Canis lupus familiaris: one gene and its partner. The main gene of each other region encodes a partner of the protein of the gene in region 2 in a complex. Links are inferred from orthologs where the notes say so. Each region holds a gene or a part of one and is shown on either strand. Other genes may lie near its edges.

Region 1 (4,138 bases), on a different chromosome or scaffold from region 2:
CAAGTCTTCACCCAGAAAGGAGGGGCCCAGCTGGCTTCTGAGGTCCTTCTGCGACGGCCCAGCCCGCAGAGGAAGGAAGGTCCCCATCAGGAGTCCCGGGAGGGCCCTTGCAAGGAGCCAGGCCGCACGTCTACCCCCCCCACCCGCCGCTGCAGGTGCAAGTGACCCCTGCCCCCAGCCCCCAGCCCCCAGCCCCCAGCCCGCGGGTCTGCTGCCTGCCGGCCTTCCGGGGCCCGCTCCCCGCTGCTCCCCGCTGCTCCCCACCCCCCAAGCTTCGCACTCGGGACTCCTCGTGGCAGACGACTCAGCCCCCGTGGGAGGGCCAGGCGCCCCCTCCCCCCCCCGCCGCAGGGGAGCCTGCCTTACCCGCGCTGCCCTCCGGCTCGCCGACCGCGGGGATCGCGGCGCCTGCCAAGGTCCTGCCGCCGGGCCGGGCCCGCCCCGGGGTCGCCGTCCCGAGCAGAGGCGGCCGCAGCGCCCGGGGCCAGACACCTGCGGGGAGAGCCGGCCGTCCTCGCGCTGTCCCCGCCCGCCCACCCCGCTCCCCGCGGGCCCCGGGCAGCTCCCGCCCGCACCCCCACGCCCGCCGCGGTCCCCGGGGCCCCTCCGCGCGCACTCACCCGCGCCGAGCAGCCGGGGCGCGGTCGCGGCGGGAGCCATGGCGCGGAGGACGACCCGGCGGGGACACGCTCTCGGGCCGCGCTGCTTCCGCCCCCGCCGGCGCCCCCGCCGCAGCGCCGCCTGCCGGCCCGGAGGTGCCCCTGCGCGCCCCGCCCCTGCGCGCCCACAGCCCTCGGCCCCGCCCCTGCGCGCCCCGCCCCGCCCCCGCCGCTCGGCCCCGCCCCGCCCCCGTCCGCGCGCGCCGCGAGCCCCACTTCGGCCCGCCGCTGGCCGGGAGTCACCGGGGCGCGCCCCCCGCCCTGCCCCCGGCTCGGCCCCGCAGCCCGCACGAGTCCCGGCCCCGGGGCGCCCTCCTCACCTCCGGCCGGTCTAGCACAACCTGCCGCTCTCCCCAGGAGCATCCCGGAGGACCAGGCGCAGGTGGAGTCTGCCCTGAACCTCCGGGCGCCGGGCGGCCGTGCGGAGCTGGGCGTGGGCTTCCCGCTCCCCCGGCCTGAGCCGGCCCGGGGGCAGATCCGCGCTCGCCACCCCACCGCGAGGAGCCGCCACGGTCGCCGGCCTCCGGGAGCGCGGCGCCTTCGGGGCGGGGCCGCCCGGGCAGCTGACCCGGCCGTCGCCTGGCAACGGGACGCCGCGCCGCCTCTCGCGGCCTCCCACCCGCCGCAGCGCGGGAGCCCAGGCGCATGTCGGAGCCGAGCCCCCGAGAGTGCGCGGCGGCCGAGGAGCCCCCCGCCCCCGCGGGGCCCCCGCCGAGGACCAGCGACTACTACTGCGTGGACGAGAACCTGCCCGTCAGGTTCAACAACCCGGCGTGGTTCCGGGGCTACGGGTGAGGACGGATCGGGTCGGGGGCCACCGGGCCAGCGCCGGGCCTGGAGGGGGCGGGGGGCTCCCCAGTCCCCAGCCCGCCCTGCAGCCCAGGTCAACGGACTTGCCCGCGGTTAGCACCCAGGGAGCGAGGAAGTGCCGCCCGAAGCTGCAGACCCGCCTGCGGGGGTGCTCGGGTCACTGCAGGAGGGGCGGGGTGGCCAGGCAGCCGCACCCAGCCGCACGCCTCTCCAGCTGAGCGCAGTCTCTGCAGAATCCGAATCCCGCAACCACCACCCCACCCCCCCGTAGCTGTTCTTGCAAAGCCTTAGACCCAAGTAGTAGAACACCCGCCACCACACCTGCCCTGCCCTCCCTCACCTAGTCTCCTCTGCAGGCCGGTAGACCAGATCTGTTAGTATTCTTGCTTTCCAGGAGAGACTGCTGAGGGTGGAAGCATAGCATCCTGCCCCAGATCTGGTGGCATAAGGCACGGCTGACATCCCAACCACAGCCTGGGCTTTAGAGACTGTAGGCATGTTTTCTGCCCAGGGCTCTGAAAGTGAAGGGACCCTCCCACCCTGGGGTGGCAGGGTGTGGAGGCTGAGCCCTGGGTCCTGACCTACCCATCTTCCCCGGGAAATGACGGTATGTGCCAAGCCTCCACCCCGGTTGAGGTCTGCATTTGCCCTCCAGGAGTTCTTTTTTTTTTTTTAATTTTTATTTATTTATGATAGTCTCACACACACACACACACACACACACACACACAGAGAGAGAGAGGCAGAGACACAGGCAGAGGAAGAAGCAGGCTCCATGCACCAGGAGCCCGATGTGGGATTTGATCCCGGGTCTCCAGGATCGTGCCCTGGGCCAAAGGCAGGCGCCAAACCGCTGCGCCACCCAGGGATCCCCCTCCGGGAGTTCTTTAGGGCTTTGGCCTCCCTTGGGGAAGAGCCAGGGTGGAAGTGAGCCGAGGAGGCAGGGAGGCTCATCGTGCCTCCCGCGGCACCCCACCTTCGGAGCCTCAGCACCAACCTGTGGCATTCCCAACAGAGCGCCACCAAGTGAATATTCTAAGACTACAGGCTTGGGCAGAATTGGAGTAACTGTTTCTCATCTGCCAGGACCAAGGAGCCTGTCTCCATGTACAGGACCAGTAACCAAGCTTACGGGAGCAGGGCCCCCACCGTGCATGAGATGCCGGTAAGCCAAGCTTGGAAGCACCTGTGTGTCATTGGAACATCTCCAGGAGGAGGCTGTGACCCTGGATTTCTCATGAGGGGCGGTGGGGAAGGGCCCAGATTTCCAACCTCACAAAACTGGAGGTGGCACATCAAGTCCTTTCCAGACAGAGCAGAGCGGAAATGAGTGAGTGAGCAAACTTAGCGATGGAATGTGTCAAAGATGGAAAAGGTGTGTGTAGACTGGCTTGAGACGTCCCACCCCCTCTGTCATCTTAAGGCCATGAGTTTTGAGGCAGACAAGTGAACAGTTGCTTTCTTTCTGGAATAATACTTGATTTTAATGAACTTGTGGCCTAAAGAGACAGGACGGGCCAAAATCACAGGTGGCAGGAGGACAAGGCATCCTCTTGGCGGACAAGGCATCCATCCCCACGTGGCTGGATGTGGGGATCTGTGCACCTTTGGGGAATCCTCACCCCCTTCTGGAGGTTGATGTCACAGTCTGGAGCTCTAGAACCCCCTTCTGAAGCCCCCTGGTGTCTCTCTTGGGCCCAGGTGAAGGGCCAGGCTGACCAGCGTAAGCATTCCCTGGATAACTCAGGACAGCAGGGCCACCCACTTTGGGCTGATGATGCTGTTGTTTCTTTTGAAATACTCATCATTTAGAGATCTGGCCAAGTTGCTCATTTGCTTGTTTCACATGGGAGATACAGCCCTTGTGAGGAGATTATTTATCTAGAAAGTTTCTAAAGCATTTAAGGGTCACTCACCCAGAATCAAAATGATTCCACATTTTTCCCAGGATCAGGTATTAACATGAAAAATACCAGCACACTCAACTCACTAACATGGGTCCAAATGTTTTACTTTTAGAAACAAGACCATTGAAAAAAAAAGTTTCCTAATTTTTTTTTAAATTGTGGGGGTTTGCCCCTCGCTGGTCTTAGCAGGTGATGGGCCGTGAAGCACTAGATGCTCTGCAGGCAGGGTCGGAAGGAGGTTCTTCCTGCTGCTAATTGACGGGCTTTACCTGCAGACTCAGGTCAGGATACCGAAAAGCGGGCTGCAGCTAAAGCTGGTCAGTAAGCAGCAGGAAGAACCTCCTTCTGACCTACAATCTTTTTTTAAAAAAAAAAGAAAGAAAAGAAAGAAATGCACTGAAGACATTTATTTTTGCTCCTGCCTCCTGCCAAGCAAAAAGAGTATCAGGTGATCTTGACACGAGGAGAGCTGAAGAGCGGGTCCACCTGTCCAGGGTAAAACACCTAGCCCTGGCCCTGTATGTCAGAAATCTCAGGGTCTCCCCAATGACGCTGTGCTGCTGGTCCAATCACCACCCTGGGTGCCTGCGCACACGTGCATGGACTCGGCTGTGCTCCCCACCGTGCCCTCACCTCACTAGGGCAGCGCCTCCCCATGCCCCTGGGCTGGTGGGGTGTGGGCATCAGAGGCATCTTAGAGCTCTACAAGGGATCTGAGTGTGCAGTCGGGGTTGAAACCCACGGATGTGGAGTTCGTCTCTT
Region 2 (2,203 bases):
TTTGAGATACGATGTTTTGTTTTGTTTTGTTTTTCATTTCAAATGCAAAATTGAAATGTAATAGAGTGAGGTGAACTACTCCTTTACAGTTTTTTTTTTTAATTCAATTGAAACATGAACTACTTGGGTATTGTTTTATAAATGTTAATGCAGATATTTTTAATTAAGATGCTTAGGAAGTCTAGGAAGGTCTACATGTATTTAAAAGCATTTCTTAAAAAAAAAATAAAAGCATTTCTTAAAAAATAAAAATAAAAATAAATAAAAAAATTAAAAACATTTCTTGTCAAAATAAGATCTATATTGTTGGAGTTGTATGAAAAGTGGAAATCTGTGTACTTATGATGATATAGCAAAGAGCAGTAATAGGTTTTCTCTATTCCTTTTTTCTAACAGGCTGACCAGTGCACGGGTCTTCAGGGCTTCTTGGTTTTCCACAGCTTTGGAGGGGGAACCGGTTCTGGGTTCACCTCCCTGCTGATGGAACGTCTCTCTGTCGATTATGGCAAGAAGTCCAAGCTAGAGTTCTCCATCTACCCTGCCCCCCAGGTGTCCACAGCTGTAGTAGAGCCCTACAACTCCATCCTCACCACCCACACCACCCTGGAGCACTCTGATTGTGCCTTCATGGTAGACAATGAGGCCATCTATGACATCTGTCGTAGAAACCTCGATATTGAGCGCCCAACCTACACTAATCTAAACAGGTTGATAGGTCAAATTGTGTCCTCCATCACTGCTTCCCTCAGATTTGATGGAGCCCTGAATGTGGATCTGACGGAGTTCCAGACCAACCTGGTGCCCTATCCCCGCATCCACTTCCCTCTGGCCACATATGCCCCTGTCATCTCTGCTGAGAAAGCCTACCATGAACAGCTTTCTGTAGCAGAGATCACCAATGCATGCTTTGAGCCAGCCAACCAGATGGTGAAATGTGACCCTCGCCATGGTAAATACATGGCTTGCTGCCTGTTGTACCGTGGTGATGTGGTTCCCAAAGATGTCAATGCTGCCATTGCCACCATCAAGACCAAGCGTACCATCCAGTTTGTGGACTGGTGCCCCACTGGCTTCAAAGTGGGCATTAACTACCAGCCTCCCACTGTGGTACCCGGTGGAGACCTGGCCAAAGTACAGCGAGCTGTGTGCATGCTGAGCAACACCACAGCCATTGCTGAGGCCTGGGCTCGCCTGGACCACAAGTTTGACCTGATGTATGCCAAGCGTGCCTTTGTTCACTGGTATGTGGGTGAGGGCATGGAGGAAGGAGAGTTTTCTGAGGCCCGTGAGGACATGGCTGCCCTGGAGAAGGATTATGAGGAGGTTGGTGTGGATTCTGTTGAAGGAGAGGGTGAAGAAGAAGGAGAGGAATACTAAAGTTAAAAATGTCACAAAGGTGCTGCTTTTACAGGGAAGCTTATTCTGTTTTGAACATTGAAAAGTGCTCTGATCAGTTAATTTGTATGTAGCAGTGTATACTCTCATATATAATTACTGACCTATGCTTTAAAACACGACGCTTTGTTACAGACTCAAGCTGTCCATTTCTCTGATGGGTTTGAATAAAGTATTCCCTGTCTTAAATGAATTTAGTTTTGTGTTTTCTATTTGGGTGTCTGAAATTCATGTACTTAGTTCTGAGAAAAAAGAATAACCGTTCACTCTATCTTATACATGTACTACGACTTATTTTAAAATTTACTATATTATAAAACTTAATCATAAAATACAAAATAGCGACAAATTACCACTAGATAACATCCATGCTCTTCTTAAATTTTAACTCCATTATATGCTAATACTTTTTAGAATTGATATCCACTAATACACAAAGGTCTGGTTGCTTTGTTAGTCTCATGACTAACAAAACGGTGAATACACAGGACACCTGGGTGGCTCAGCGGTTAAGCGCATTTGCCTTCAGCTCAGAGCATGGTCTTGGAGTACTGGGATCGAGTCCCACATCGGGTTCCCTGAATGGAGTCTGCTTCTCCCTCTGCCTACATCTCTGTGTTTCATGAATAAATAAATAAAATAGTTTTAAAAACGGTGAATATTCCAAACGCATTTATCAGGTCTTAAGCATATTTTTATGCATTCTCATCTTGGCATGTGTCTAGTGCTATAATGTTTCCTCTACCCTGGGTTCTCGAAGTCTGCTCTTCAAGCAATTGCTCCCTAGTTCTTTACTTTCCAAATTATT

What was found. Proteins that work in one complex are often made in the same cells at the same time.
Region 1: the proteins of tubulin alpha-1A chain (region 2) and C9H9orf116 are in contact, whole or in part, in a cryo-EM structure (PDB 7UNG), measured with the Homo sapiens proteins. The link is inferred for Canis lupus familiaris from reciprocal best matches to the Homo sapiens genes TUBA1A and PIERCE1. Residues at the interface, in NP_001257328.1 of Homo sapiens: Met1, Arg2, Gln15, Asn18, Ala19, Glu22, Cys25, Leu26, Glu27, His28, Gly29, Ile30, Gln31, Pro32, Asp33, Met36, Pro37, Asp39, Lys40, Asp46, Asp47, Ser48, Asn50, Glu77, Gly81, Thr82, Tyr83, Tyr224, Thr225, Asn228; in NP_001041730.1 of Homo sapiens: Tyr28, Pro35, Gly36, Arg37, Phe38, Trp43, Phe44, Arg45, Gly46, Tyr47, Arg48, Thr58, Ser59, Asn60, Gln61, Ala62, Tyr63, Gly64, Arg66, His71, Glu72, Pro74, Phe77, Tyr78, Pro79, Asn80, Ser81, Asn82, Lys83.

Annotation. Positions count from the first base shown.
Region 1 is NC_049230.1:51,281,006-51,285,143, reverse strand, and holds the start of C9H9orf116 (UPF0691 protein C9orf116 homolog), read left to right. Parts: upstream 1-1,287; 5' UTR 1,288-1,304; coding exon 1,305-1,450; intron 1,451-2,555; coding exon 2,556-2,634; intron 2,635-4,138. Other genes in the region: MRPS2 (28S ribosomal protein S2, mitochondrial), read right to left, coding at 367-492, 621-660. UniProt on the Homo sapiens protein: Microtubule inner protein involved in the attachment of outer dynein arms (ODAs) to dynein-decorated doublet microtubules (DMTs) in cilia axoneme, which is required for motile cilia beating.
Region 2 is NC_049248.1:41,237,155-41,239,357, reverse strand, and holds the end of tubulin alpha-1A chain, read left to right. Parts: intron 1-396; coding exon 397-1,377; 3' UTR 1,378-1,588; downstream 1,589-2,203. UniProt on the Homo sapiens protein: Tubulin is the major constituent of microtubules, a cylinder consisting of laterally associated linear protofilaments composed of alpha- and beta-tubulin heterodimers.